Drosophila melanogaster: one gene and its partners. The protein of the gene in region 1 interacts with the protein of each later gene in a pairwise test. Each region holds a gene or a part of one and is shown on either strand. Other genes may lie near its edges.

Evidence for each region.
Region 2: the proteins of CG9368 (region 1) and p120ctn interact in a two-hybrid assay, tested with the Drosophila melanogaster proteins (one large-scale study listed by BioGRID).
Region 3: the proteins of CG9368 (region 1) and garz interact in a two-hybrid assay, tested with the Drosophila melanogaster proteins (one large-scale study listed by BioGRID).
Region 4: the proteins of CG9368 (region 1) and Pka-R2 interact in a two-hybrid assay, tested with the Drosophila melanogaster proteins (one large-scale study listed by BioGRID).

Annotation. Positions count from the first base shown.
Region 1 is NT_037436.4:19,599,961-19,608,142, forward strand, and holds CG9368 (uncharacterized protein), read left to right. Parts: upstream 1-1,672; 5' UTR 1,673-1,812; coding exon 1,813-2,016; intron 2,017-2,081; coding exon 2,082-2,100; coding exon of another isoform or gene 2,101-2,141; exon of another isoform or gene 2,142-2,695; coding exon 2,696-3,021; 3' UTR 3,022-4,160; downstream 4,161-8,182. Other genes in the region: Taf6 (TBP-associated factor 6), read left to right, coding at 1-84, 147-316, 374-829, 950-1,259; lush, read right to left, coding at 4,715-4,803, 4,864-5,014, 5,070-5,291; CG9372 (uncharacterized protein), read left to right, coding at 6,621-6,708, 6,873-7,021, 7,081-7,217, 7,286-7,865, 8,043-8,182.
Region 2 is NT_033778.4:4,591,281-4,599,486, reverse strand, and holds the start of p120ctn (p120 catenin), read right to left. Parts: upstream 4,200-8,206; 5' UTR 4,060-4,199; coding exon 4,025-4,059; intron 219-4,024; coding exon 1-218.
Region 3 is NT_033778.4:12,323,469-12,331,764, forward strand, and holds the start of garz (gartenzwerg), read left to right. Parts: upstream 1-2,891; 5' UTR 2,892-3,205; coding exon 3,206-3,307; intron 3,308-3,370; coding exon 3,371-3,569; intron 3,570-3,624; coding exon 3,625-4,610; intron 4,611-4,671; coding exon 4,672-5,652; intron 5,653-5,722; coding exon 5,723-5,931; intron 5,932-5,995; coding exon 5,996-6,222; intron 6,223-6,281; coding exon 6,282-7,512; intron 7,513-7,569; coding exon 7,570-8,296. Other genes in the region: CG8841 (uncharacterized protein), read right to left, coding at 1-1,119, 1,190-2,432.
Region 4 is NT_033778.4:10,021,681-10,029,892, reverse strand, and holds the start of Pka-R2 (protein kinase, cAMP-dependent, regulatory subunit type 2), read left to right. Parts: upstream 1-3,850; 5' UTR 3,851-4,064; intron 4,065-5,533; exon of another isoform or gene 5,534-5,690; 5' UTR 5,691-5,842; intron 5,843-8,212. Other genes in the region: CG1407 (uncharacterized protein), read left to right, coding at 1-88; CG12128 (uncharacterized protein), read right to left, coding at 1,449-2,185, 2,250-2,970. UniProt on the Drosophila melanogaster protein: Regulatory subunit of the cAMP-dependent protein kinases involved in cAMP signaling in cells. Mediates membrane association by binding to anchoring proteins, such as Akap200. Might play an essential role in the regulation of neuronal activity in the brain.

The DNA of each region.
Region 1 (8,182 bases):
CAGAACAACTTGGCGTTGCTTATTTACCTCATGCGCATGGTTCGTGCGCTTCTGGATAATCCTTCGCTGTTTCTGGAGAAATACGTAAGAAATTTCTTATTGTATTGTTCTTTGTTTCTCATAAAAACGATGTTGTCTCCGCATAGCTCCACGAACTGATACCCTCGGTGATGACGTGCATTGTGTCCAAACAGCTGTGTATGCGCCCCGAGCTGGACAATCACTGGGCCCTGCGAGACTTTGCCTCCCGACTGATGGCTCAAATCTGCAAGAACTTCAATACCCTAACCAACAATCTGCAAACCCGTGTCACCCGGTAAATCACATCCACTTAAATTAAATAACCTTTTAACATCCATTTCCCAACCTTCAGCATCTTCAGCAAGGCCCTGCAGAACGACAAGACCCACCTGTCCTCGCTTTACGGCTCTATTGCGGGTCTCTCGGAGCTGGGGGGCGAAGTCATAAAGGTTTTCATCATACCCCGCCTTAAGTTCATATCGGAGCGCATTGAACCTCACCTGCTCGGCACCTCCATCAGCAACACTGACAAGACAGCAGCAGGTCACATCCGCGCCATGCTTCAGAAGTGCTGTCCCCCGATTCTCAGGCAAATGCGCTCAGCGCCAGATACAGCGGAGGACTACAAGAACGACTTTGGCTTCCTGGGGCCGTCGCTGTGCCAGGCAGTAGTCAAAGTTCGAAATGCGCCCGCCTCAAGCATTGTAACCCTGTCATCCAACACTATCAACACGGCACCCATCACGAGTGCAGCACAAACAGCAACAACCATCGGACGAGTGTCCATGCCCACCACACAGAGACAGGGGTAAATAACACTTTTAAGCATAAAATAAAATTCCAGCCAAGCATTTGATTCCTAATGGAAACCATGTTGACATGTCTTTTTATGCCCATTACTAAGCGGTTAAATATTCTTTTGTTTTAGAAGTCCCGGAGTCTCGTCCCTGCCGCAAATAAGAGCCATTCAGGCCAACCAGCCGGCGCAAAAGTTTGTGATAGTCACCCAGAACTCGCCGCAGCAGGGCCAGGCGAAGGTGGTGCGGCGTGGCAGCTCTCCGCACAGCGTGGTCCTCTCCGCGGCCTCCAACGCTGCCAGTGCCTCCAATTCGAACTCAAGCTCGAGCGGCAGTCTACTAGCGGCTGCACAGCGGAGCAGCGATAATGTGTGTGTTATTGCCGGTAGCGAAGCGCCAGCAGTTGATGGTATAACAGTTCAATCTTTCAGAGCATCCTAGACGCCAACTCGCTGATCATTGAGACGGAGATTGTGCGCGCACCGCCCGAGCTGGACGATCTCTCGCACCTGGAGTAGCCAGCTTAGTTCGTAGTCCACATTTTGTCATATTGTATGCAATAAAATAAAAAATGCGGGTTCCTACCCCAAAAAAATGTAACCACACAAATAGGAAGAATATTAAATCATTATTTTCACACGTTTTGTGTAAAATGGATTTAGTTCTTCTTAGCAAGCAAAAAAAAAAACATTATTTAAGGATTTCCCATAGAAATATTAAGCTACAGTTCTGTAAATAACGAACTGTTGAAATCAACTGACTGCTCTCCCACCCCACAAATCGAAAGCTTGCCCACGCAGTCAGCACGCATGTGCGGGTATGGGCCCCCAAGTGGCTTGCTATTGATTTCTCCAGCGCATTGCTGGGTGAACGCACAAAGAGCTCTGCTCAGCACTCCTTGTAGATACCCATCGCAGGACAAAGGCAAAGCTCGAAACGCTTCTGGCAGCATTTTCAAAGGATAAAAAGGAATTCTCACAAAAACCCAGGAAAGATGCATGCCAGATTTGCGGATCCCGAGCCAGCGTCTCCGGACAGCGTTGATGGAATCGAAACGGAGTCACTGGAGGCGCGGATTGAGGCCTTCAAGCAAAATCCCCAGAACATGGCCGCGTTGCGGGAGGCGCTCGACGATGTGCTCCTGCGGGCTGAGACGGAGGCGAACAGGCGGGCAGTTGAGAGCCAGAAATCGCAACAGGTTGACCACACATATCTAATATTCGTTTTCGAGCTAACTGAACTAACTTGTAACTTCCCTTGCAGGGCAAGGAAAAACGACCGAGTAAGTATACGCAGTGTGGTTCAGTACATTTCACTTCTTAGCTATTTGGATAGTGTATTGCTTTTCCCTTTCGAGCACTTCAGCGCAAACCCTTGCCAAGTGCTGGCCGCTGAATAGACACTTGTGCACAAATCCTTTTCTTAGTCTTGCTTAAGTATTTTTGTATCGATGACTTTCGTGGCAATGAACTCGCTTGACACCTAAGAGTGCCTAGGCTAAAAGTTGGTGGATGAGGTCTAAATCTCAAATATTGCAAATATTTAGGAAAGTATAATCTTCGTGCTGAAATTAAGAGAACTGTCGCGTAATGTTGTAACTTGTTTGATAAAAGTGGGCTGACCTAACTAACTGATGACAGGGCGACCGTTGTGGGCCTCCTCCACGGTTGTTAACAGATGGCAATTAAAACTGAGGAAAGCATATAATTTAGAATATATAAACGCATTCGCACGCCATTTTCACCCATTTTCCAAAAAACCCAGCCAGCTCGATTGCATGACCATATTTTGTTGCACTTAACTTGTATTTTGCGTATCACTGATCTTTATTTCCGTATTTTTGTACTCTCTGCGCCTCGCATGCACTAACCTCTCAGGTTTCGCCATACCAGATTTTAAGAACGGCAAGGTGGTGAATCGCGCTCGAGGATTCGTGGTGCGGATCTTCGATGCCATATGCAATTGCGCCAACAACAATGCGGCGGCGGCCACGACGCGTTTCAAGCTGAGAAGCAACAGCGGCGGAGGGGGAGGCGGCGGAGGTGGTGGTGGCGGAGCCAGCGGAAATGGCAAGCGTCAGCAGTCGCAGAATGAGCCGGAAACCCTAGTCCTGACCAAGAAGAAGCCCGCCGGCGAAGGCAAGAAAAAGAAGGGAGTCAGCATGGCCGATGACGTTCAAGCCGGCGTTCGACTGATGGACTAAGCTAGCTATAATGGACAATGGTTGTCCATGCAATGGGAAAACATAATCAAAATTACCACCAACCCCTTCCTGAACAATGAACTCTTACTCAGCAATCGTCTACTGTCATCTTACCACCTTAATGGATCCTGTCCAGAAGCATTTTCTTCGCTCAAACGTCTTAGGCACAAACCAAATTCTACGTCTTCCCCTTGAAGACCACCAAGTTTATGGTGTAAGCCCTGCAAAGGAATCTTAAAATCGCATAGAACAGGGCTGATGGAAAAGCTTTAGCTCTCTACTATATTGTTTGATATACCCAAATGTGATCCCAGATCGTAATGTTAACGAAAACTCAACTCGAAGCACAAGCAACTCTTCTAGGCTAGTTATGAAAGGAGAAAACCCCTATATACGACATTTGTATACACTCTCCAGCTCTCAGACATTATTTGGTCCCCACGCACAACACAATCAACGGCATTACACAATCCCAGTGGAATCGACGAGGGTTTGCCCCGAATCTCCACCTAATTATAACTACGATATATCAAATTATATACCTAACTATATGTGTATGTGTATGACTATAGTTGTCTACGGAACCACCAACCTATTTAGATGTGTGTGTGTAGCAGTTAAAAGTATTTCCAAACCAAACCAAAGCAGCTAACAACAAACGGTTCAATATACAAGCATTAATGTGTACTGATTTTATATACAATGTACTAACTACTATATATACGTGTGAATGTCATTAGACTCTTAGTTGTTTACACAGGTTTCCTCGAACATCCTCATCAAATTCATCAACTAATCCGCACACACGCTCTAATCGGATATATTTTTGTGAGACCCTTTTTGGAGAGATCTACATACATATATAAAGACACTACTCCTATACCGAAACCGAAATTTAAGATATCGATTACTCTCGATTACAGAGAACTTTGTACGCAGATTTGCAAGGCAACCATTTTGTATAAGATTTGCATTTATTTTGTAACCTCTTGAATGCAAAGATCTCCCTAAGTTTGAATGCATTGCTAAGCCAATTGGATGTTTATCGATTACAAAATGTATAAGTATGCGTTATGCAAACATAAAACCGTTGTATTTAGTTAATAATATCAGCAATAAACTATAACATGTTTGAAATCAATGCGGCGTGTTTATATTTTGGGGTGCCATTTTAATCTACAAAAAGGTTTTCAAATATATGATTAAAGATTGTTTTCAAAAAAAAAGATTTGCTTATCGAATTCAGTCGATTGCGGGTATATACATAATCGAAAAATTAATTTAAACAAAATGTTCTTTGTTACTTTGACAATATATAATTTCAGTTTTGATTCAATCAGAATTGGACGACTTTGTCATATAGGCATACGAATAGTCGGAAAATAGAGTTTCGAATGAAATAATATAACACAAACTACAGTTTCGTCGTTTTTAATCATAAATTGATGTTATTCTGTATACATAAGTTGTCTTTAATATATAAATTTTGGTTTCAATTTAATCAACATCATATTACTGCAAGGGTATATAAGTATATACTTCGGCTTTTTGAAGCTAACTTCCTTTCTTGTCATAATTTATGTTTTACGAATTCCAATTCTATTTGATGATTTCAACATAGATAATAAAGCAATCATCCAAGGATTGGTCATTAAAGGATGAACCAGTATGAATTTAGTTTCCAGAAACATTTTTAAGGCCACATGAACTGCCCATCGGCGTTTTCAGAGAAGCACTTGGCCGTCTGGTAGACCCTCTCGCAAGATTCCTTAAATTGTTTATCTGCAAAGATATACCTTACATATATTTACAGCTATGAAAGGTAAGTGTGGGTGTAGTTACGCGTATCCCGACAAGCTTCAACGGATTTCCTGGACATCTCCATCATTTCCGGGGGAACCAGATGCGGAAGTTGGGCCAGCGCCTTGGGAGCGTTGAACTCCCCCTTTTTGTTCACAGTGCCCGCCATCAAAGACACACACTTTGTGTAGCACTAAAAGGATAAAGGATTCAAACACTGGTGCCTGCAAAATGAAAGCGGCATTCACCATAAGATCCTGCGATGGCGGAAAGTTGAAATCACCCACGCGAAGCCGATCGAGATCTTCTGTTTTGAGCTTAAACTTCGGCGCACAGCCACTGCGGATCATGTCTAGCGAGGTCAAGAACTGCTCCATCGTCATGGCAACTGCAGGATCGGGTAGCAGGAGTACCAGCACTTGCAGGACGATCGCGAAAACAGCGGAAGAGCGTCGTTTCCAATGCTTCATGGTGGCGGAAAGCTAAATACGTTGAGTAACCATGTCGTAGGAGAGTTTTATAGGTGATCATGGTGGCAGGGAAAGGTGGTAATTAAATCGCAGGGATTAATAATTAAGTAACACACTCGCACGCCATTTGAGTTGACTAGGAAGTTGTATTTGTACCATTTGAATGACACGACAATAGTCGAATTTTAGAGATACCTGTTAAAAAATAATAAATAATAATTTTTAAACCAATTTTCAGGATAAAGTGGGTAAGCGATGAGTTTATAGCACCGCATATATGTATATTCATATGTATATGTGATCATATAATATTCCCAGAAATTCAAATCCAGTGCTCTACCTATAAAAATTGTTAAATAATAAAAATATGGTCTTCGCAATAATATTAAAATAATATATTTTAAATATTTTTTAAGGATATTTTGACTAATTATTTGTTTGACGCTTTCTATTTTAAACTTATTTTTTAGTACACTTATTCGGTATTCGTCTTATTACATAATAACATAATCTGCCAACTGAAGTCGCCCCATTCCATTTTCTTCGCCTCCATCATTCAATACTATTACTTAAATTATGTTAAAATGTTAAAGGGTTGGGTTTTAAATTAAGACATTAAAATCATTTCTGCAGTGACAATCAAACCGTGCATCGCAAATGTTTTCTTCGATTCCGGTTGTGCCGTGCAATTGATTTATTATTACTACTTTGATGTGCAAGCGTCAAAAGGCAATTAAATAGAGAATATAACTGAGTATAAAATCTTCCTTAGTATTTCGGAGATGATACTTCTATGGAATCAAAACCCACCGAACCGGATCATTTGCGATGCACATCACGTTCGCCTCGGAGAATCCAAACTGATCATCATGGGCACTACTCGCCCCTGGCAACATGTTGCCAAGCTGTTGCCAGCAACATTGAGATAATACACCAAATTGGGTCTAAGCTCAGAGGCATTAAAGGGGACGTCATTTCAGTGGCTCGCTTTCCGCCCTACAGATAAGCCAAGTGCTCGGATTAACTCAAGTATTATATAATAGTTACTATATCGCTAGCGGTTCCAATCCCATTAAGCTTTCGCCTGGGAACTGAGCATGGAGTAAGACGCTTTAATAGCCAGGAAAACCCCATAGTGTCGACGCATCGAACAGGTTCAACAGCAGTATCCAAGGCAAGACGTATGTAAATTGAGCCGATCTGAGCTCAGCTCCATATCGGAGAAGTAGCTTTAGCTGGTTGGAGAACTGTCAAAACAGAACTGATTCAGCGGGCAACGGAAGCGACACGCGATTAAAATTCCCACTGCACTCGCGAAAATAACTCAAAATGAAGGCATTTCTTTGGGCATTGGTGATTTTACTGGGCTATATCCCGCAGAGTACAATCGCCAAGACTGTATCCACTGATTTTTTAGGTGAGTCACGTTTTTATACCAACATAAAAAATTGTGCAGGTGCATTTAATAGCAAAGTTATTTATCAAAGTTAAAACTCATTTCACCCAAATACTTGATATTTCTAAGACAAATTCCAAGAATCTAATGTAAACCAAACCTAAAGATTTTCGTCTACCACCCAGATCTTCTCGACTTCAGCGATAATGATGAGTTTCAATGGGGGGAGTCGGAGAATCAGGTATACGAAAATCGCACTGGGGAAAACCGCGTCGTAAGTTTCCTGTCCCAACATCGCCTAAACAAGCGACAGGCTCCCACCTCGCAATTGCTGGTGAGTTTATGTCTTATGCATACATACCAGTATCAGGTAACTACAAATGATAACCGCAGGAGAACAAGGATTATGGAGCATGTAGCACTCCATTGGGTGAATCCGGCCGATGTCGCCACATTATCTACTGTCGCATGCCAGAACTTAAGAATGATGTCTGGCGTCTGGTCTCCCAGCTTTGCATCATTGAGAAAAGGTATATGAATTTTTCTTCTTAATGGCTTGGCATCCTTGTATTATATGTACAAATAATTTGTCTTTCAGCTCCATAGGCATTTGCTGCACTGACCAGTCGACGAGCAACCGATTTAGTCCGCAAGTCGTGACCAGTGCGGACGGTGATGAGCCGCGCATCGTTAATAAGCCGGAGCAGCGAGGTTGTGGGATCACGTCCAGGCAGTTTCCCCGCCTCACCGGTGGACGGCCAGCCGAGCCAGACGAGTGGCCTTGGATGGCGGCCCTGCTGCAGGAGGGTCTGCCCTTCGTTTGGTGCGGTGGTGTCCTGATCACCGACCGTCATGTCCTAACTGCCGCTCACTGCATCTACAAGAAGAACAAGGAGGACATCTTCGTGCGTCTGGGCGAGTACAACACGCATATGCTGAATGAGACGAGGGCGAGGGATTTCCGGATTGCCAACATGGTGCTCCATATCGATTATAATCCACAGAACTACGACAATGATATTGCAATTGTCAGAATCGACAGGGCGACTATATTCAACACCTACATCTGGCCAGTTTGCATGCCGCCCGTGAACGAAGATTGGTCGGATAGAAACGCCATTGTCACCGGTTGGGGCACCCAAAAGTTTGGCGGTCCTCATTCTAACATCCTCATGGAGGTGGGTCGCATATTAAAGTATATTTCATTTTATATACAGCGTTTTTATTTTGTTCTTAAGCTTTCAATTTCTTATATTGATCTAAACAAATTGGTTTCAGCAATTTAGTAACTCAAGCTGAACATAACAAAGAAAGCTTTTTTAAATTAAGAAAATATGTATTACTCCTATCTTCAGGTTAACCTGCCGGTTTGGAAGCAGTCCGATTGCAGGTCGTCATTTGTACAGCACGTTCCGGACACTGCCATGTGCGCTGGATTTCCGGAAGGAGGTCAGGACTCCTGTCAAGGCGATAGCGGAGGTCCTCTGTTGGTACA
Region 2 (8,206 bases), on another chromosome or scaffold:
CTGTAGAGTTCGTCTCAATCTTATTTTGAGAGCAGTGTGGCGCAACTTTTGTTATTGCACCTACTCCTGTGGGCTTTGTTATATATAATGGAGTGCTTGAATATCCTGCTGCCGAAAATTGATCATAATTTTGAAAAGACCCAAATTGGGATTGCATGTTTGCAGGCTCGTGCGTCAATGAAAGGTCCATGTTTATGTGAGTTGAATTCATATTTAAACTGAAAAGGGAGTTAAATTTCTTTAATATACGAACACGGCATAATTAACGACTATTAGTTTAATCTAGATGTAATTTCGATTGGTTCGGAGTTCAAAACAAAAAGGGTACCAGTACTTACAATATGAATAGCAATAATTTATTGAGCTGTCTCCAGATCTGGCTCCCGGCTCTCTCAAATTTTTGTTCAAGAACCAAAACCAAAGAGCGGACAGGTCTACAGTCAGCAGCTCCCTTATACGCATACACGGACAGCCGACCACATTGACAAAATATGCTTCACTTTACTGGTTCTTAGGCTTTACATTTATATTATTTTTGATCAATTGACACCATGTAAAAAATTCTTGGTTTGCACTGCCTTAGCATGATAATTCGAATAGAAATTGTAATAGCAGAATCTATGAGCATAATATCACATAATAAATTTCATAAATGACTTTGTATTGGATTAATTGAAATTCGAGTATTAAGTTGGCCTCGTGTGAAAAATGAGAGAAAGACAACTATTTTAAGGTGCTTATGTCAAAAAGTCAAAAAAAGTCAAGAAGTCAATTAAAAAAAAAACTGGTTGTATTTTTATATTTATTTTATATATATATATATAAGAAATATATATATATTTATTTTAAACAATGTATGCTTATATAATCAGTTTGAAAAAAATTTTTTAAAAGTGTTTTATTTATTTGGAAAATGTATGCTTTAAATAATTTGTAAATAATTTTTTCACCTTTGTAAATAAGATCTGATTTAATATAAAAAGGTCATTATTTCGGCCAGACCAAAAGTGTCCGTTTTACGAATCGAAAAAATTTTACGATTTTGAAAAACGAAGCATCGATTTTTCTATTTCAAATGGAAATTGTAAAATCCTTACGAATTCGATTAACGGAGCATGCCCGATTATTAATTAGAAGCATGAATAAAAATATGAAACGATAATAAATTAGTTAAAAGGAAATTAAATTTTATATATAATTTTTTAGTAGATAATTTTGCAACGAAATTGACAAACTCTAAAAATGTACCTTCGATTCTTACATCAAAATTGATTTTGATAAATGTATGGCCATTACTTATCTTTTTATTCTAATGTCTTTGGTATGACGTCTGAGATCTCGGGAACTATTAAAGCTAGATAGTTGATACTAAGCATGCAGATTCTGGCGAAGACTTCCCTGTGCAAGATTATTCGTAAAACCCTTACTTTGAAAACTTGATTGGATTTCTTTATTTTATTTTGGTCTTACTAATTTCTAAGTCCAAAAATAAACATAAGTTATTGCCATCCGATTTTAAATTCGTATCATAGTATTATAAATAATTATTTAAGGAAGGCACTTCACAATCCGGGTAATTCTAACCTTCTTCCAACTTACCCAATGAGGAACTTTAACGAACGATCCATATGTAATTAGCGCAGTCGCACCAGAATTGATTTAATTAACGATGCCTTGTATTGGCAGGACACGAAAATGAAGCTCCTAAGATATATGTATGCACACGTATCCTCATGCATTGTAAATTTCACTAAATATGCCCTTCACTTTACAAGTTCCTATACTTTTTAAAACTCAAGTTTTGCATTGCCTGAACTGACAATTATTCAAGTATAGCTTAGAATAGAATAATACATAATAAATTTAAAAAATAGAGAATACTATAGTCGAGTTACCCGACTATCAGATACTCGTTACTTAGCTAGTGTGAATGCGAACGCGAAATTTCATAATTTTTCTGGAATATCGATAGATATTGGGGAACAAAATGAGAAAAAAATTTAAAAATTGTTCCAAAGTGTGGGCGTGACCGGTTAGGGCGCTAGAGTGGGCTTGGCGAAAAGTTTTTGGCAAGTAGATAGAAATTTACAAGACTAATAAAACTATAAAAAAATCGAAAATGGTTCAAAAATGTTGGCGTGGCAGTTTGGGAGTTTAAGGTCGTTAGCGTGGGCGTGGCAAAATTTTTTTTTTTGCAAATCGATAGAAATTTACAAGACTAATAGAAATGTTAAAAAATATGAAGAAAATTTTCCAAAGTGTGGGCTTTTTAGTTTTGTGCGGTGTGTTGGCGGTTGTCTCAAGAATCTGTATTCTAAATTTCAACCTTTACTTCCATTAGCTTTAATAATTCCTGAGATCTCGACGTTCATACGGACAGACGGACATGGCTAGATCGACTCGGAGGTTAATCGAAGCTAATGCACTAATGCTTACAGCCTTATATACCAGCAGCGGTGAACTTTTCGTTTTCGCTTTCGCTTGTGCGCCGGTGCTTTCGATGTTGCTTGGCTCTTTTCGTTTAGCGCACTTATGTAGATTAGCGGAACGCTAAGTGACGCACTACCCTGTATTCGTCAGCTATATTCTCTTCGGCGTCATTTTGCACCTTTTTCACATTTTACAGTTTTGTGCTGTTTGTGGGCGTTAGAGTGGGCGTGGGTCAACAAACTTGGGCTGCGTCTGTGTCTCTAGAATCTGTATGCTGAATCTCAACCTTCTAGCTTTTATAGTTCCTGAGATCTCGACGTTCATACGGACAGATCTTGATCAAGAATATATATACTTTATATAGTCGGAAACGATTCCTTCTGCCTGTTACATACATACCTTTCAACGAATCTAGTATACCCTTTTACTCTACGAGTAAAGGGTAAAATGACTGTTGGATTAATTGTTATTAGAGTATTCAGCTTGCGACTTGTGAAAAGTTTTAGAAGACAATGATTCTTAGGTGCCTATTTCCGCACGTCGTGCCTCAAAAAATCAATTTTGCAATAAACAGGTTACATATTTTTAAAATTTTTGGTAATAAATAGTGATGAACTATAGTTGATGTTTCGTTTGTGAAATGAGTCAAAAAACCGCTAAACGGATATGAAGAATATAAAATATGAAATGATATGAATATGAATGAAATGAATATATTATAATATAAAATATAATATATAATGTAATGTAATGTCATTAGCATTGGGAATAATTGCTGTAGTTGTCCTATCATAGTTGTACAACAATAGCGCATAAAATAGTTCAGGAGAAAATGGGATGATTGAGAACGAATCACTTGTTCTCTGACAAATTTGTCTTCTGCCTCAAACCATCGCGGATAGCATACAAATTTCCCCCGAACAAGGAATCCTTTACGACAAACAAGGGGAGGGGGCTTTAATAAAAACTCAAATTTTCATTGGATGGTAAAAGTGATGGTAAAATAATAGTATGTATACATAATATACATAATAATATATGTGTTTATAATATACACAATTTTATTAAATATTCTTTAAACGGAAGGCATGGATGGATAGACAAAAAATTATATTGTGATATTTTTTCAAATAAATCATGGGAAAATTATTGTAATTCTTTCTGAATTATGAGCGAAACTGTAAGCCACTTTAATACCTAGCCACTCCCTTACAGCTATGTACTCATAGGAGACAGGTATATAAATTTGTACATTGAGAAGCCCTGATAACAATGAAAATATTATTGTTAAAGCATTTTTGCATGCGTATCATTTTATATGTCATGTATACACACATAAGTTCCTTCCTTTTTTTCATACAGTGATTGATTAGCTCGAATTAAATTATCGATTTTTCTTGTTTTATTATGTTACACAAACTATCACTAAAAAAATTAAATTAATTTTTTTTCATTTGATTTAATTTGATTTAATTTCATTCCTTATTTAATTTGATTTGATGAAAACAAGAATTCGTGTAATTTAATTAACACTCTCTTTGCCCTTTTTATATGCGAATTCCAACATATGTATGTTTAAATTAATACCACATACCCGATTAGGCTGTGTTTGAGAGATCGCGCTTCCATAGATGTCCATATGTAAAACTACATATTCACAAAAAATTGAAATCCGATTTTCCAGATATTAAAGCATTTAGTACAACATCATACACAAAAAAGGAAATTCTGTAATGCTTGTGACAAAAGAACTAGTTCATTATTAAGTGGTTCGATAATGTAAGCGCAATCGAATACTTTATGTGAAAAAATATCCTAATTACAATCGGTTATGCTCGGGTAATCGTAATTTGTTTTCGATTTCGATTTTGGCAAAATCTTTCGATTTCGTTTTGGGTGCTCTGGTTTTCGCAAAATGATTGCTATTGGGAATGTTTTGTTTCTTTCTGCTGACTTATTTTGTTTGTCTAAAGCAAATAACGTGAAAAAGGCCTTTTATATTTGCAATTGCTTGTTTTGAAGCCAGGAGAAGCAGAAATGCATTCAACAGTAAATAGACGTTTAAGCTGTTTTCCAGACAAGTAGAGTTTTAATTCTGATTTACGCAATTACTTTTCACAGCACTTTATCCAATTAAGTAACTAACTGAAATACCACTATTTACGAATAACACTTTTGGTCGTCTTTTAAATTAATTAATATTTTATATAAAAATTATTTATTTATTTTTTATAAAATAACTCAGTAGCAGAATGATCTTGTGCTGATGTGGAATAAACATCAATAGACCACTAAGTTAACTATGTTATTCCCTTAGTAAAAGATCTGTTTTGTTATAAAATAATACTAATACTTATTACTTTACCTAATTTTATGTATATTATGTATAATAATTAAATTTCTTTTCATCTGATTTCCAAAAACCTTAGTCCTGTTAACCCTAAGGAGTATTTGTATAACAAAGAAAAATATTTATTTAAACAATTTATAATTATATGTAATTTATTTAGTTGTGTCAAAAACATTAGAATAACAAGATGCGTAACGGCCTTACATTGGTTATGCAATATTCCAGCGACTTGTTTGGTGACGGCTGTAGAGCGTACAAATCTAGGAATGGTATGCGCCCGCTTGTGTGAGTAACAACAATAACTAAAAGTGTGTATGCTGTGTGCTATTTTTAGACGAAATCAATCTATACCTAAGAAACGAATTCGTATGCTTAGAGCCAATTTTCTTTTTATATGATCTAATCTAATATTATTTAAAAATGTATGCCCTGACAATTATTTTAATATTTTTATTTAATATTTGATAAATTAGCCGCTAAAATAAGGTTTCATTAACATATTTATATTTATGTTTGTAATTACTTATACATATGTAAGAATCGGTACACCATTACAATTCGAGCCGATTTGAAATTTTGTAATGTTAAACACTAATCCATGTTCACTTTTTGATATTGTCATCGTGGAAATTGGTGATTGGCAAAATGAGTTCGTCAATACATAGACAAATAGGATAATGATAGTTACAGTGCGTAGGCTGTGCAGATGAAAAGTGTGTTAGTACATTCGGACTTATGGAAAGTCACATGGGGTCGACTCGTCAAAGAAGAAAACGATAGTCCCGAGAAAAAGGCTTTATTTGACGAAAAAGACAAAAAAGCCATTGACAGTATAATATTGTGTATACATAGCAAGTCAACCACATAAAGCATTGTGAAACCGCTAAAGAAGAATGTCAAAAATTGCGTGAAATACATACACCTACGGGACCGGCGCGTAGTATTTGCTTCGTGTTACAAAATTTAAATGTGTGAAACGGGCACAGTGGGGGCACATATGAACAAATTTTATGACATTGTGCAAAAATTAAAAGAAGTGGGTTTTCTAGTTCAAGAAGAAATCCTAAGTGTTTTATTATTGTCAAGTTTGCATCAATCGTTTGAAGGCTTCGTGATTGCTCCAGAAACACGAGATGAGTTTCCATTACTAAGAATTCTAAAAATTAAATTGCAAGAAGGACAATGGCGAAAAGTAACAGATCAAGTAGAAAAATGTGAGCAAACGGTTATTGGAATTCGGTCCGCGAACGAGAATGAGAAGATCGATAATAAAAGAAACGGACAAAAAGAACACAAGCAAGTAAAAAACGGTAAAATAGTAATAGTAATAGTAAAAGAATAGTTACATACTGGAATTGTGGAGGTAGTGGTCACAAAGCTGCGAAGTGCAAAGCGAAGAATAAAATCGCAAGAGAGTTAGAAAGCAAATCCGAAATCATATTCGGCATTCTGCTCTGTCGCTCAGCTAGACAATTCGCCGAAAAATATGTGGTGTTTGGGCTCGGGTGCTACTGCTCATTTGTGCACGAAGAGATCATTATTTAAAAATTTAAGAGAATATAAAGAGCGCATTCTCTTGGCTGGAAACAATTACATTGAAGCGGATGGTCGCGGAACAGTTATTTTAAAGTGGAAAAATTCTACTATATAACTGATTAGGCCACACAGCACGAATCATTTCATAAAATGATATTTAGGTAGTTTAGAATACGATTTGCAAACTTATTGTTAGTCTCTTAAGTAAAAGCAAAGACACGATTTTTTCGCCGTGGCTCTAGAGGTGGCTCCAGGCTCTCTCGAATTTTTGTTCGAGAGCGAGAGAGCGCATACAGGGATAGCAGACAACTGTATGTGTGCACACGTATGCTCGTGCATTGTAAATTTGACAAAATATGCCCTTCACCTTAGAAGTTCTTTGACTTTAAATCTATATTATTTTTGATCAATTGGCACCATGCGAAAAATTCTTGTTTTGCATTGCCTTAACGTTATTATTATTTGAAAATAGATTAGAAATAGCCAAAACTATGTACATATTATCACAAAAATAAATTTTAAAAATGACTTTATATAAGAATATTTGTCATTAGAGTATTCAACTTGCGGCGTGTGAAAAATTAATAAGGCAATGATTGTTGAGTGCTTGTGTCCGCACTTCGTGCCTCAAGATATGAACAAAGCAAACACACAAGAATAATTCTAGTGTCTTTGATATGACCTTTGCAATAAACAGTAATCATATTTAATTATTTAGTATATTTATTAAGTCAATTGACTTAATATGATGTTTCAAAAAAAATATTTCGCTTTTAAAAAATTGTCAGATGAGAGACAAATTAGAATTAAACATAAATATAAATGTTTTTATAACGATTTTAACAAACAAATTTAAAAAGCTTTAAAATTATAATAGTCAGGGCGCGAATTTTTAAAAATTATTTTATTATATCATATTGCTACGAAATTGGCAAAAAAACTATCCTAATATGTACAATGTAAATTCGTTTCTTCGATCAGAATTGATTTCGGCCCAAAAATCGTCTTCTAGCACAACACGCAAACATATACGCGTTCTCGTCTCTTGTTTTTACAAGCTTTACAAGCAAGCAAATTATATTTTTAGATTTCTTATGCTCTTAGCGGGAGCGAGCGGAAAGAGAGCAATTTTGGCCGTTACTAAAAAATTGGCTGCATAGTGCCAAACCATTGTATGGCCGTTACGCATCTTGTTTTTCTAGTGTCTTTGATTGAACTATAAAGACAGACCTAGTTCGTTCGTTCAGTTTGGTTAATAGTTCAATTTAGTTCTTTCGTTCACGAACGACACAACACTACACAGTACATAAACACGTTTGACTTAAATACAAGTTCGTACAACTCGAAAAAGCTAGGGTATTATTCATGCTTGGCCTATTTATTGAATCTTCCCTTTTACTTAAAAGACTAACAATAAGTTTTCAAGTCATATTCTAAACTAACGAAATATCATTTTATGAAATGATTCGAGCTGTGTGGCATAACAAATTTAACGCTGGGCTGGTTGGTCGTTCCAGTGCATACTCGAATAAGTTTTCTTGCAAGAGGATTTGGATGTGAGGCTAGTTTTTCATTGTATTTTACTTTCTTCTCTGCTATTGTCTCAATGACAAGTTTTATTTGTAAGTCTCTATGTATATTCTCGTTCCGAAGATACCATGGAGCTCCAGTAATGATTCTCAGAATCCTAGACTGTGCTTGCTGTACTATGTCGATGTTGCTTCTCGATGCGTTGCCCCATAGCTCGGAGCCATAGGTCCATATGGGTTTTAAAGCGGAGTTACTTTGTACTTCAGACTTAGGGGAGAGCGAACGTTTATAAGCCTGTGTATATCCCTTGCTTTTAGTCTGAGGTGCATCGTCTTGGCTTGTGCAAAGTATAAGAATAGA
Region 3 (8,296 bases), on another chromosome or scaffold:
GCACTGGGAGCAGTCCCACTAACGTTCCGTGTTGCAGAAACTTGAGGATCTCCGACTCGTCGGTCAGTCCTTTGTCAATGCAGATCTTCTCCACCTGGGGCACTAGGACCTGAAGCAGTCGCATGATGGTCTGCAGCGGCAGCTTGGAGCGCCAGGAGACGATCCACTCGGGCGTGGGCGTCCAACGATCGCTCTCGCCAGGCACCATGCGAATGCTGGCCCTGTGGGCCACCGACAAGCGGGACAATTCCGTGGGTGAGGTGGACTTGCGTTCGTCAGTTGGCGTCGAAGCGGCTGATCTGTCGTAGGGCACAATGTCTGTAGAATCCTCCACCTGAGGCTTGTCATTTGGATGCGCCTGCTCCCGCTCCGTCATCTGAGTAATGCCCGGGGTGTCCAACAAGGACGTTTTCAGTGTTCCTGGCTCGGCTGGCTGCGCCGTGAGAACGTCCGACTGCAGCTCCCCCGCCTGAGATCGCTCATGAGACTCTGTCTCCGATTCGAGATCCTCTTCCGCCTTGGGCTCTTCATTAATTATCTCCTCCTCGTCCTCATCCTCGTCTTCTTCGTTGTACTCTTCTGGCACGTGGGCCGAGGGCAGTTCCTGGGACACAGCTGGCGTTCTTCGCTGTGGTACCCGCGGCAAGTTAAACTTTCCACCTGTTTTACGGCCACTCAGGCACTTGGCTATGCCAGCCATATCGGTCGGGAGATTTGCCATGGCATGGAACACATGACGCTTTCGAATTATGGTGTAGACTAGATTCGAGTTGCCATCGAACTGATACTGTATAATGTTATTGAAGATCTCCAGCAGGAAAAACACCAAATGATGATTGCTGGGTGCCGATAGCAGAAACCAGGGTGTGCTAAAAGCCTCCAGGAGATGCAACATCTTTACACTAGCCACCATCGAGAGGGTTTTCAGATATGGTGAGACATTTACCAGAATGGTCAGCAGACAATCGAAAAGCGGCTGCAGCCTCTGGTGGCCAGTGGCTATTATTTTGTGGAACACAGTGATGAGTAAGTCCGCATGGGTTCCAGTAAACACAGGTATATCCATGGGCACCGTGGCGGAGTATGCTTTGTTAAGCCGAACCCCAAAGTTTCGCTCACCTATCAATAAACATTTATTTAAGTGTAAGTGCACTGATTCCACGAACAAAACATATGACATATGACTCACCCGATAGGAGCAACAGTATGAATACTCCAATATGCATCAAGCCCACTCGAGATTGATCCGCTCGGGAGTAGTTTAGGTGATACAGAATGGGAATCAGGATGTCCAGAACATCGGAGCTCTTTAGCACAAAATACAGAAACTTTTTGTTGTAGTCGCATATTTTCCAAAACAAAATAAGCAGCTCCTGGTGGCAATGAAGTCGCTTTGTGGAATTGGGCAAATAGTTCTGGACCAGTGGGTTGTTCAGCAGCCTGGTTATGCCCTTGAGCACAAAGTGAAAGTCCTCGTCGCGGTGAACCCTCGAAAGATAGTTAATGAACAAGTTGTCGCCGCAATTGCCCTCGTCGTAGGACGCCTGTCCGGGTTGTGTGAGTTGCTGCTGCACCACCATATCGTGATCCAAGGTGACAATGAGCAGTTGAAGGCACGCTTCCACCAGGGGCTCTGTGGTGTCTGCAAACAGCAGGTGATTGTAGGGCACGCCGAAGCCCACCGGATCGTAGGAGCACACGGTGTTCAGAAACGAGGTGAACAGCGGCAGGGCATGGCGATTGTCGGCCGAGGTGAAATATGCTATCCACTTGTTGGGCTCCTCGGACTGCTGCGGCGATCGGTACATGGGCTCCGAGAAGCAGGTGAGTAATAGCTTCAGCAACTCCGTGCGCCTGCGCTCCATGTGGGCGTTGTGGGGCGGTGACTGGGCGAAACCCACGCCCGCTTCCCAAATGTACTCGCAGCTATCGATGTTCGCCAACTCCTCGGCCTTCTCGGGGCCCGCACGCCGCGTGGCCGTAACCGTGAAGTCGGGACAGAAAAGAAGGTCGCAGGTGGCATTGAGCAGTGACTGAGCCAACGGCATGGTCTTGTCCTGCGATGGCAGGCTGCTCCAGAAGAAGTCGCGCCACTTTTCGTCCTCGAAAATGTACGGCAGACACCGGACGAGCAGCCGCACGCAGTTCAAAACGCACTGCTGCTCCGCCTGCGTGCGACAACTGCTGTCTACCGCCTGGGCAAGCTTTTCCACCGCCTTGTAGCATAAGGTGGCCAGGTTGGCTGGATTCTCGTTCCGTATCTGGCGAATCTCGCTCGAGGTGACCAGCGCGAACACATCCTCCAGCGTCGTCTGGTGGCCCTGCCAGAACTGCTCCCAGAACTGCTCGTCGCTGGGGTCGATCTTCTGGTTCTTCTGCGTCAGCTGCACAATCGCCTTGCGAAAGTTCAACTTGGAGTCCGTGTTTCCCATATTGTTCGGCCTGTGGGCTGCTTTGGTATCGCTGAGTCCTGTAAATCCACCTGCCCCGTGCTCGATCGCCTCAGTGCAAGTGTGCGCAGTAGTCTGGAACAGGAATGCTTTGCATTTAATGCGATTCTTTTTCAAAAATCGAACGATTCCAATTAGAAATTCGCCTACGCACCAAATGCCAGTGTAACTTAGTGGTGGGTGTAACGCTCACGACTGAAGATGCGTGCGTGACTGATTATGCTCACCTGTTTTGGCCCTCATATTCAAATATCAATTTGATTAAATCAATTTGATCGACAGCTTGGCAACATATTTTATTTTAAAAACAAGGTTATATTTTTTTTATATACGCTTGCAGCTGTATTTCAATTTAATCTATTGAAATTTCCGCATCGAGTTGGCATCTACAGCTGTGCCAGTGCTGCGAAGCGACGAACTGCCGCGCCGGTGTTGGAAGACGCTTGTGCAAAATATTCGGACTGCACACAAGAACATAAACGACACGTAAACGTCACCAAAAATTAGCAGCTTACCAGTTCGATTAGTTAGGATTAGTGAGAGATGCCCAACTAGGCAGCACGCCCAGATTCGTCCAGGCAGCGTGAGTGTGCGAGTGGGCAAGTGGCGAGTGCCAAAACATATGCGAAGGTCGTCGGGAAGGGAGGAGGAGCTGCCCTGCCCCACGAAAACTGCAATTTTCAGCGCTAGCCCTGGAACTGGAAGCCAACTAGCTGCAGTCGTAGAGACACCGCAACGGAGGACACGCGGACACCATGGCGCTTCCAGGCAACGGCATCTACGTGGTGCGGGGCGAAATGGCCACCCTGATGACGGCGATGCGACGTGGAACGCGTTGGAATGCCACCGCCTACGTGGTAAATAGTGCCCCTAATGCTCACTGCGAATAGAAAGTATATGGCCCTTTTGCACATCCACAGGACGACGAGAATGACTCGCTGCTGAAGCTGTTCATTGACCTCAAGCATGAGCTAAATCGGATCGAGGACCTGCGTCAGATCGAGCCTCAGGTCTTCCTGGCTCCGTTTCTTGAGGTGATTCGCACGGCGGACGCCACGGGTCCGTTGACTAGTCTAGCCTTGGCCTCGGTTAACAAATTATTGTCTTACGGGCTAATAGGTATTATGATTTAGTGCTTACCCTCTGCATTTGCTCATTCTGTACCTATCCACAGATCCCACGTCTCCAAATCTGGCTGACATTGTGGAGCGCATTGCCGATGCTGTGACACATGCCCGCTTTATGGGCACCGATCAGTCCTCGGATGGTGTCACCTTTATGCGAGTGATTGAGGTGCTGCACACGCTTATCCGCAGTCCCGAAGGAGCCGCCGTCAGCAATGTGTCCATGTGCGAGGTGATGCTCAGCTGCTTCAAGATCTCCTTCGAGCCGAGGCTGAGTGAACTGCTTCGTCGCTCGGCGGAAAAATCGCTCAAGGACATGGTGCTGCTCTTCTTCATGCGCCTTCCCCAGTTCGCCGAAGAGCGAAGTGACACCATGCTCCAGAAGCGATTTACTATCGGCGATGCTGCCAGCGGAGCTACCCAAGAAAAACTAAAGCGTAAGACGGTTGCCCAAGCCCAGACAGCACCCAGGAAATCGTCAGCAGTGGAGGAACCGCCTCAAACACCGCAGTCTGCCAACCTGACGGTGCCAGGGCACTTGAAGGCACCCATATTGGCCACCACACCCGCCAGTCCAGCGGGAAACATATTGGACATGCAGGGCAAGATTACGCAGACACCAACAACAACGGCGAGCACGGGGGAAGATGAAACCACTGTCCCGGAGACTCCTGTTATTCAAGTGGAGTCGACTGAATCGGAGCCCTTGCTGGACGGCGAAACGGGTGAAGCAACCAGCACCCTGGCCGAGGCAAATAGTAGCGAGTACATCAACTCGGTGGGCGTCCGTTTTACACAGCAGTCCACCGATCACGATGTAACATCACTATCCCCTTATGGCCTGCCCTTCATCCAGGAGTTGTTCCGATTCCTCATAATCCTCTGCAATCCTCTGGATAAGCAGAACTCGGATAGCATGATGCACACGGGTCTTAGTCTACTTACTGTAGCTTTTGAAGTCGCAGCCGATAATATTGGAAAGTATGAGGGCTTGCTGGAGCTGGTTAAGGACGACTTATGCAGAAACTTAATATCGGTAAGGGACTCTTAATTGCTTCGTTAGTTATTTCTGACCTAACTCTTTCCTTTCCCTACAGCTTCTCAGCTCAGAGCGGCTTAGCATCTTTGCCGCCGATTTGCAGCTCTGTTTTTTGCTTTTCGAGTCTCTCCGCGGACATCTCAAGTTTCAGCTGGAAGCCTACCTTAGAAAATTGAGCGAGATTATTGCTAGCGATAATCCCAAGACGCCCTACGAAATGCGAGAACTCGCTCTGGACAATCTACTGCAGTTGTGGCGCATTCCCGGCTTCGTCACGGAATTGTATATCAACTACGATTGTGACTTGTACTGCACGGATATGTTTGAAAGTTTGACAAACCTACTGAGCAAGTATACGCTGTCAGCAACGAATGCAGTTTATAGCACCCACATTATCTCAATGGACACCCTGTTAAGTGTGATAGACAGTATCGAGCGAAATTGTGCCGCGAGCAAGAATAGCAGCAACAACAGAGAGTCCTTGCCAGAAGCTGCCCCAGCAACAGGTGGCAGCCGCCATTCTCGCCACAACAGCGGATTGGAGGGAATCGTAATTGATTCTGGCAATAGTGTAGCTGCAGAAGAGAAAGTGGAGAACATCGCAAGCTTTATAAATGCGAGCTCACATCGACTACGACTACAATCTGGCGGAGAGGGAGTGGGAATAACCAGTGAACAGCTGGCCAAGGTCAAACAGAAGAAGCGTCTGCTATCCCAAGGCACAGAGCGATTTAATCAGCGTCCAGAGAAAGGAATCCAGTATCTGCAAGAACACGGCATCCTAAATGCCGAGCTTGATCCCATGCAGGTGGCCCTGTTCCTTCGAGAAAATCCCGGGCTCGATAAAAAAATGATTGGCGAATATATCTCGAAAAAGAAAAACGTCGACTCTAAGATTCTAATTAATTTTGTGGACTCGTTTGATTTCACTGGTCTTCGAGTGGATCAAGCATTGCGTCTTTATCTGGAGACCTTCAGATTGCCCGGAGAGGCTCCATTGATCTTTTTGGTGCTGGAACACTTTTCTGATCATTGGCATGTGAGTATACACATCTACTAAAATACTTGCAGTCTCTGATATTAATCATGTATGTATCCCACCAATATAGAAACAAAACCAAGATCCGTTTGCCAACGTAGACGCTGCTTTTCGCTTGGCCTATGCCATCATCATGCTGAACATGGATCAGCACAACTCGAACGCGAAGCGTTTAAATGTTCCAATGACGCTCGAGGACTTCACTAAGAATTTGCGTGGTCTAAACGGTGGCGAAGATTTCGATCAAGAAATGCTGGCTCAAGTCTTTAATGCAATCAAGTAAGCTTTAGTACATATAGCGTCACTCTCATTTGCTTATATTTCCGATTATTAATTATTTAAGGAACGAAGAGATCGTTATGCCAGCAGAGCAAACGGGTCTGGTGCGTGAAAATTATCAATGGAAAGTACTGCTTCGACGAGGAGACACGCACGATGGACATTTTCACTATGTGCATGACGCATCATACGACGTGGAGATCTTCAATATTGTGTGGGGTGCTTCTCTGAGCGCCCTAAGCTTTATGTTTGATAAAAGCACTGAAACGGGCTACCAAAGAACTCTAGCAGGTACGTACATAAACATCTAATAATTACCATTCACATCTCACATTACGATTACATTTCAGGTTTCAGCAAATCCGCTGCCATATCGGCGCACTATAATCTGCATTCGGACTTCGATGCCCTCGTTTTAACTCTCTGCAAATTCACAACGCTGCTGAGCAGCGTAGAACAGCATGAGCCCGCTCCGGCGAACAATGAAACCCAGCAAGCTGTGAACTTTGGATTGAACGGAAAGGCTCAGGCTGCCATGCGAACGGTGTTTCTATTGGTTCACGACTACGGCGATTGCTTAAGAGAGAGCTGGAAACACATTTTGGACCTATATCTGCAGCTTTTCCGTCTAAAGTTGCTGCCAAAATCATTGATCGAAGTGGAAGACTTTTGTGAGGCGAACGGAAAGGCCATGTTAATCCTGGAAAAGCCCCGCGAGAAGCAGGAATCGGGACTATTTTCCAGCCTGTACTCATTTATCAGCTCGGAGGGTCAGCGAGAACCAACGTACGAGGAGCAGGACTTCATCAAACTGGGACGGAAGTGCATTAAGGAGTGCCAGCTGGATCAAATGCTGCAGGAATCAAAGTTTGTGCAACTAGAGTCGCTGCAGGAGTTGCTTAAATGCGTTCTAGCGCTACTGAAGGCTCCTCAGGGGCACAAATCCATTGGCCTGCCGTACGCCGAAGATCAAACTGTTTTCTGGATGGAATTTTTGGTCAAGATAGTTGTTCATAACCGGGATCGCATGATACCGCTGTGGCCAGCAGTTCGAGACCAAATGTACCTACTGCTTATGGGCAGTGCCTCCTGTGGATACGACTACCTACTCAACCGATGCATTGTAGCGGTCCTAAAACTAGCTATCTATCTGATGCGAAACGAAGAACTGTGTCCGATCGTATTGCAATCGCTCAAGATGCTTTTAATGCTTAAGCCAGCCTTGTTGCTGCGCATTTCTAAACAGATTTCCATTGGTATCTATGAGCTGCTCAAGACGTCGGCCCAAAATATTCATTCCGAGCAGGACTGGCAGATTATTTTCAATCTACTTGAATGCGTGGGAGCCGGTGCTGTGCCGCCCAATTATGATGATGCCCAGCTGCCATTGCCGCCCAACGGAAGTGCAAAGTCTGATGGCGCTATAAGTGGCGAAGAGGACGCAACTGCCGTGCCAGAGCGTGGTTACACTTCGGATTCGGAGATCACGAAAGCATCTGCAGCACCTGCAGTCTCCAGTCCAAGTGCTGAGAACTGGATTCTGGTCAATAACAAGGACAGTGAATTGACTACGGCCTCTAGGTGAGATTCTTCACTCATTAACCTTTCATATCTAATACAACAAAGTTGCTTTTGCAGACCACAATCTCCGCCTAGCCTGAGTGCTCCTCCAGTAAATACGCTTGTGTACAATTGCCAGCTACTAGACCACGCTCCGTTTGCTCTTTTCAAGTGCTGGGATTCGCTGGCGTTTATCGTGCGCAGTGTGGCACACATCACGCCTTACAATTTTGAAGCCTGCGTTCGCTGCATCCGCATCTTTGTGGAGGCTTGTCGGGATGGAGGTATACGCCAGCGGCGAAAGCTGGAATCGGCGGCTAAGCAGAAAAGTTCCAAGAAGCGCAGCGAACGCAAACCGGGCATGGCTTCCTCCGCCTCGAGTAGTAATCTTACTCTTCTGACGGGCGACCCGTCCGACAACCAGATAAACGGAAATGCGGCAGAGCAGGAGGACCTGGCCCAGCGCTACGAACAGTTGTCCATTCAACTGCTGGACCTGATGTATACGTTGTACACGCGAACTGCCCAAATCTTCCGATGGTGGGCGGAAGAAGGATGCACAGTGCCGCAGTCGGCAGCTTTGTGGTCACCGGGCTGGTGTCCATTGCTTCAGGGAATCGCCAGGCTGGCAATGGATCGACGGCGAGAGGTGCGCACCCATGCCATATCGTGCCTGCAGCAGCGGGCATTGCTAGTCCATGACCTGCAAACGTTGTCGGGAACGGAGTGGTGCTCTTGCTTCCACCAGGTGCTGTTCCCCCTCCTAAACGAACTGCTGCCCGAGAGTAATGCAGCCGGCCAACTG
Region 4 (8,212 bases), on another chromosome or scaffold:
CATCGAAATGATTGGAGATCATCCGTTGACAAGCGCTGATCCTGCCAAAGGCTTCCCACGCCCGCCGAATGGCGATCTGCCAGTTTAAATAATAACGTAGAATGTATTATGTGTATGTTTTTGTACCATAGAGCCAAGTAAACTGCCAGATTTGTCAGCGTTGCGGTTCTTAGTAAGCAAATAAGTTACCTCTATGCAATTCATCAGCTGTTTAGTGTAGGCTATTTAAATGTTTAAATGGCTGGGACCATAATATAAATCACCACATATGTATAATCGACTAAGTTAACATTAGGCAATATGTCATTGGTTTCACACACGCATTTATCGAATTTTTTAATGGAAATTAGAAGAATCGAATGTGGAATTTCCTAGTAGATGAGATGGTGTTATCCTCCGAAGATTTGTACCTTGCTAATGCATTCATGAAACCAACTATCCTTGTAGATATCGAAAGATCTTCAAGACTTAAACCTAATGATAAGCAATGAGATTTCAGTACACACTATTAACACACACGGAATTCAGTAATTTCCATATGGTTTTAATTTATGTAGTTAGTAACTGTTTGCAAGTTTTTATACTTTTTCTTACTTTGTACACCTTAATGCCCAAATACATATATTATTGAACTTCTGCAAGTGACGAAATTAAATGGATTTTAAAGTATTTAAAACTTATAAAGGTTTGTTTTTAGTTTGCCAAATAAATAAACATGACAGCTTTGCTTCATCTGCACAGCACCGAATCTTCAATCAATCCATTACATACACAATAACGCACTCATTACTTATCAATTTCCCACTGATGATATAATTCACCACATATCCTTTAGCTTTGGCGATGGCAAAACATTTCCGATTCGACATATGGAAGAGGACACGGAATCTTTGCTAGGATATCACAGCGATACGCGCATCGAGTTGGAGGAGGACTTTCTGCCAGAGCCGCGATTTCAAGACTCGATTCCATAGCTAATCATGACCAGCGACAATGTAGCTACATATTACATTTAGAGATTCAGTTGTGAAGCCTCCTTACGACATACATATACTTTCAGTGTGTAAATAACAGAGGTACAGACAGTCCATCCTATAGGGACAACTAGGTTATTATGTTTAAGTTACGAATGAGTCGATAGACAATTGTAATGTATATGTATGTAAGTGATAATGCGAAAAATGTTAGGAGATCAAAATCTTAATTCTTGCTTGGACATTCGAGTTTGAAATTTAAAATCGTATTAATTTAGTGTGTAAGGATAAAGTTATTAGAACATTTCGAACAAAAGTATATGTCTATATAGGAATATAGCTCGTTATAGCTCGCGTCAACAAAAAACAAAATAGTATACACGCTTAGTGGAATAACAAGAAAATCAAAAGCGAAACTTTAAGCAACACATACGGATCTGTATATTTACAAAAATAAAATTCCAACTATTCCCATTAATCGAACCGACTTAAGTCGTCATCTGCACACGAGTGGCTTGTTCCAGAAACGGTGGTGGATGAAACCACTTCAAAATCGTCTTGTGCTGGGGTGTTTTTCGCTAATTCCTCGGAGGAATCGGCAAAAGGATTGGCCGTCAGTCGAGCCACTTTCGGCAATGGTTTTGAAAATGAAGGTTCATCAACGACTGTTTCATCAGGAGTATCCTCTACTTGCTTCCTTTTCTTTTGCTTTTTGCTAACTAAAACATCTCGCCGTACTGCAATGCCTGAATCCTCACTTTTAGGTAGCAGATCAGTCAAATCGATCTCCACATCAGCCACTTGCGGTTGCAGTTTCTCCTGGAGAGCCGCTAAAGCAATCAACAGCGCTTCCTCGGTGCGAATGGTTCGAGATCCTTGGCGTGGTAAAACATTTACATAGTGGTCGAACAGCAGCTCAGGATCATCTACGGTCAGTTTCTCGTCGTTGGCCAAGGCAGATTCCAAGCCTTGCAGTCCGCCAAATACAATGAGCATGTGATTAAAGTTATATGATCGGTTGGGCACCTCATGTACGTTGGTTCCGCGATCCGAGGTACCCACCGTAACATCGTAGCCGGTTGCGTAGGGTGATTTGGTAAAAATCTCAGACATGGAGTGTGCGATGCGCACCTGGTAGCCCCAATAAACACCTGTTTCCCGACGTGGTTCATCCGGGCTAACTAGTGTTCCCCGCTGCTTTCTACAGCTCTCTGTTAGGACGAATAGTTCATTAGTTCGGCACTGGGAGCACAAATGTTCGATTTAAATGCCTACCACTTTGAGGTTCCATTTTTACAGTTACTCTGACGCCTGGTTCTATTGCCTTGTCAACCAAAACGTCGTTAAGCAGCCCCACGTTGGCGTAGCTGTGTCCCTCCTTGGCCTTCTTGTCGCAAATGACGCCCTCACGATACCTGAATTTGCTCTGTTGACGGAGATGGTGCGGTGTGTCCAATGGATTCAGCAAGCCAGAGTACTTAAGGTCTTTGTGCAGCGGGAAGAAGTATTTTCGGAGATACTGCGGGCATTCCAGATACTGCAATATGCGTGCCAGTTGTAATGAGCTGCTGCGCACAGTGCCAGTGCTGCTGCCTTCCCCATCTGCCTCGTAACTACGCTTTGTTTCCCGGGCGGTGGCTATACCCACGTCGTCGAAGACGATTACCTCGTTCACCCGAAAGATGCAGGCGGCCCGGGCTATTTGACCGGCCACGTAGGCCCGCAGCTCGTTGGATTGGGCATTCTCGAGAATTGAACCGGGAACAGCTATGCTCAGCGTGGACGGATTAGGCTTATCCTTAGCCTGCACCTCATTGGCTGCCTTTCCCGCCTGTGATTCTGCCTCTTTGGCTTGCTGCAGCTCCTTGAGCAGCTTGTCCTGCTTGCGCTGCCGCTTCAACGCTTTCCGCTCCTCGTTCACCTTCTTCCAGGACTTGTGGGGCCCAATAGGCCTCCCATTGCTGCTGGCTGTGGGGGCGGCGAGCATCGTTTTCATCAACAATTCGTTTACTCGATTGAAACTGTTGCAAACAAAATACGCACGTGCAACCTCGGTGGACAGTATGTGGTCTGAACATAATACCAGTGTTGGTATCTATCGGTTAATGGTATTAATCGGTCAGGTTCATAATAATGCACAGATTTTTCATTCCACCTGGTAACATATGTAGTTCTCTCAAGAAGTGAAATGAAAACATTTATTGCGATTTGAATTTAAAGCGCTTGATTCAATAAACATGGACAATGGGAAGGAACAGTCCAGTCCGGAAACGCACAGTACGCACCCGCTATTCAAAGCGAAATCCGGGAAAACCGAGATCCCAACCATTGATGAAGCTGTGGACTATCTACAAATCCGAGCTATAGAGCTATCGAGTTTGACATCTCCGCCGTTAGACTATACAATGATGCGATCATCATAACGCCCTTACGGATGATCAGTGGACAGTCGGATCGACCTGCATCTTGTTTTTAAAATATTGCATCTTAAACGTTTGTTTAGACCTCGCTTCAGTTCCCACTGTTTGTTATGACCACCAAAGGAATTATAATAATAAAAAATGATTTTTATATTATTAGTCCTTCAAAATGGACTATACGTCCATTTAATGCTGCATTTAATACGTCATTGTGTTATCATTTTAGGGGTTTCTTTCATTTAAGTAGTCAATTTTTCTTACATATATTTTTATTTAATTTTCTAAATATCTGAAGACAACCGTTGAAAAACTTACGTTACAATTGCCCCGCTTTGGTATGTTCTTCAGTATTTTTACACCCACACGCAAGAGAGCTGGCCGCGAGAGAGAGAGAGCTTCCGCTGAGAGCGAGCTTTTGCGGGAGCACCAAGTCTATTTAAGCAACCCGCAATTCAAAACTTTTTGTAATTTTTGCCTGACACGGAATCGGAATACAGAGGCTTCTGCTTGCGATATATTTCACCGTTCGCACTTGTTTACGTTTGCCATTAAAATTTTTCAAAAAATCTAACGAGTAACAGCGGTTGAATCGCCGGTGGCAAAAATATAGAACCGTGTGCCGTTGTGCGTTGGTGGATCGCTGGAAAATGTGCGTTTAAAAGTCGAAAAAGTAATTGCACCGAAGAGAAAAGCCCGAAAAACAAAAAAGCGTGCTCGCAAATTAACTCCAGCTTCGCGCCGCCCCCCGCCCCCCGCCCCTACACCTGTGCACTTATCACCTCTCGCTCTCTCTTCAATTGTGCAAGTGTATGTAAAAATGTGAGAGCAGAGAGCAAAAAAAACCACACTACGTGCGCGTAATAAAAAACGAAGTGGGCTGTAGGCGGGAGGCGGTGTAGGTGGCCTGCCTCCCAATCCCTCCCCCGAAAATACAAAATACATACATACAGAAATCTACCTATCCGCTGCTTTTGTTGTTGTGTTGTTGTTACTTGAAGGTTTTTTTCGGTGGGGGACAATCAATAAACACGAGAGCTGCGTGTGAAAAAGAGACAGCGAGTGCGGAGTGCAGGTGGAGAAAGGGGATCTCAAATTGGAGCGCGAAGAGATTGAGAGAGAGTGGGGAGCGAGAGAGGGGCTTGCGCATATGATTCAAATGCCGGTTTTGAGCGCTCTATTTTTCGAGTCTTAAACAAGTGCAGTGATCAATTAACTAAATACTTGCCCTAATCAGTAGTTTTTTTTTTGCCAGATATCATATCTTGTTTGGATTTAACAATAGTTAAAGAATAGTTCAAAAAAGTGCAAGTGCAAGTGCAACTGCTACCTGCGTTATCGACGCCTATCGATATTCGGAAATTGGGTCACGGGCGCCAGCTTTTCAGGATGCCAATCAGAATTAGCCCCTACATTATTACAAACCCAAAAAAGTCAAGCAAAATAAAGTCAATTTACGTAGGAGTTGCAAGAAAGTAGAGAATAAACAACAATACAAATGCCTAATTATACACAAAAACCAACATGTTTATTTAGGCCAACTTGAACAAATTATTTCGCAAAAAAAAAAACAAAAGTTCCTCCATCGTTTAGCAGGTTTTGATCAAATTTGAGCAATAAGCAAAATAATCACGTCAATTTTGTTCGCTAATTTGTGTTTCCTATTAGGTTTTGCAAAGTGACAACCAGAATTCACTTCATATTTTATTTATAACCGAACAAATGAATTGTGCTGGCTCGCTGTAGCAATTCAAAAATAAACAACAATTGCAGTTAAGCACACAAGAAAACAAAAATGTCTGTTCAAGCGAAAAACAATTTCGGGCACCCAATTAATTAAGCAGTTACATTGGCGAACAACAAAAATGTTTTTCTTCAAAGCTTAAACGAAATTTTTGCAAAACCTGGTTAAATATTGGTTTACGTGACTTTTGGCATGTTATTATTTCATGCCTTTTGGGAATTAAATATTAGGCATAAAACAAATAAAGTGAAACCAGACCAAAACTAATTACATACATGTACAAAAATTCACCGTATTGAAAATTGATAAGATTGAAAATTAGTTTAATGGCTGGAGCTCGTCTAATTGATGTTTCAAAAGTGTACCTCACGACAACTAAAAAATCGCTCAAATCTCAGTAAATACGAATCCAGCAATCAAAATCTATTAACCGAAATACTTTCAAAACATCAAACAACAGCGAAAGCGGCAATAAACACCAACATCAACGATCCAAAAATAAATGTAGAAAAACAAGGAAAGTCCATGAGAGTAACAAATTAAATTTGGTTTTAGCCAAAACAACAAAAGCAAGCTAAGGAACAAGGCAAAAAAAGTCAGCGAAGAAAGAGACGGAGGAGCAGGTGAAACAGGTGGACGCAGGAGACCCACCCACCCGAAAGAAACTATCACCACCAGCAGGTGACAGCAAAGCAGCAGAAAGTCAGGTGAGTATCGCGCCGCATTCGCATTGGAATCCATTCCATTCCATTCCATTCCTTTCCATTCCGCTGCCATTTGTGTTTGCTCCCCGTGCGATTAAATATTTCACGCGCTTATCAATTGCTCAAGGGTTGGCATTGCTTGATAAACAAACAACTAAACAACTAAAGAGCAAACAGAAATTAAAAAGCCAGCAAAAGTCGCCTGCTTGGGCAGGTGGGTCGCCAGGTGAGGTTATACTACAGCTAGTGTGGCGGGGATCGAAGTGCTCAGAAAGCCACTGAGATATTCTGGAATGAGCCCCACCATATATGTACCCATACCTCTACTCGAATATTGTTGAAATGAGTACGCGGGCCATAAATCAGTGAATACCCCCGGATAACTTTTATAGAATTCGCTTCTATAAGTTTGAAAATTAAAGAAAAGCATTCAAGTACAACTAGTATGACTAGTTGGCACACTTCACTTCATAATTTAGGAAAATTATGAGTTTTGCTGCTCAGTCAGGCACCCGTTGTTTCTACAAATGTATATATACTTCACCTTTATAAAGCAATAATTACTTTCATAAAAACTTAATAAAAGGGTTGGACAAGCTTTATAAAAACAAAAATAAACATATAAATGGTACTGTAAAAAGTACTAGGCGTGGACTAAATCGTAAAATCATTTTGCTCAAATAACTTAAAATTCTTTGTCTAGATTTAAATGTAACCCAGATTTCTTTGAAAATAACAACAGGAACTATTAAACAACTGGAAGGTGCCTTTCTATGCAGTGCCATCTATTTTTAAGACTTTTAAACTGCTTGAATTCAAAATTCCCCAGTTACACCCTTTTTTATGTAATCCGACTACATTTCCCGTTCTTAATATCCTCTTTTCCCCTGTTGCAAAACGGAATCCAGATAATAAATTCTCGAGCTCCTTCTCGATGAGCTGTATTTGCAATTAATTCCTCCATTTTGTAAACTTGGCATCTTCGCCAAACGGACAAAGGAGAATAAGAGCCCAGCAACACAGTTGGCCAACAACCAACAGGCGAGAGACAAACATCCATCAGCAGCTCAAAGAAGCTGGGTTCGGAAAATCGAATTTTTAAAATTTGAAAGCTAAAATCGTTTGCCCGTTTTTGCCCACCAATTAGTTTTTTTTGCCTACGTTTTGAAATATTATATTTTGAAATATAAATTTTCGAAAATTTTTGGAAATCAAAAAATTGACTTTTTAACGTTTGCACACCATTTAAAATTTGTTTTTTTTTTTCGTTTGCCCAATAAATAATTTCGTTTGCCTATCCTTTAAAATTAGTTTTTTTTTTTGCCCACTCTTATAAAACAAAAATGTCGAATTTTTTGGAACTTCTTTGAAATTTCATATCTCAAAAACTGGACGTGGCAAAAAAACCAATTGGTGGGGTTTTCCAGCTTTCGAATTTCAAAAATGTGATTTTTCCAAACCCAGCTTCTTTGAGCTTCCATCAGCGGCAAAGCACACAATTTCCAAGCCAAATTCAATTTCGAGTTAAGAGGGCGAGATTGTGGCCCGAATCTGTGCGCACCACATATACACACACAGATACATACACACATAAAGAAAGCCGTGGCAGGACGACTTCAATGCGTATTCGATTCAATGGCCCGGGGCCACCACCCTTGAATGGCCCTTATTCCGCCACCATGGCCTCGGGCCCACTAGCACCCACTCCCACTCCCACTCACTCCCTTTACTTTCCTTTGCCTTCCTTTCTGCTCATTGTCGTAGGACGGCGGGAGATTCCTGTCATGTCCTCACGTTTCCTGGACCCATGGAGCTTATACTTCAGCTGGGCTTAGTTTCAGCTGGGATTCCTCGTTTATTGATTGATTCGATTCCCCGCATTCGTGTCCAGTCATAATGGATACCCCTGCACGGGCTGGAATAGAAAGTCATCAATAATATTTGCTCAACACGGGGAAATGTTCTAAAAATACAACTAAAAACTAAATTCTAGTGGAGCCAGCCCTCCCCCCCAACGAAAAGGAACTAATGAAAAAGTTGCCAGTCGGATTAAAGGCATTTTTATTGACAGCAGTCCTTTGGCTTCCATTTATGTTTCATATTTTTTAGGCGGCCTGTAACTGGAATTGACAAGGGTGAATACAGCGGCACGTGAAAAACTCATCACAAAAACGAAAGGACAATGAAGGCAAGAAGCTCTCTTTATTGTCCTCGTTTTTTGTTTTTATTCCCGGCGATATATGTACATCTTTCATTCCATTCTCTTTTATGCCAAACAATTGGCTGGGAAAATTGTTTTTCAATTCTGATTCGCAATTAATTTCGCAATCCAGAAATAGAACGCATCGCATAAACAAAGGCAACGCGGCGTAT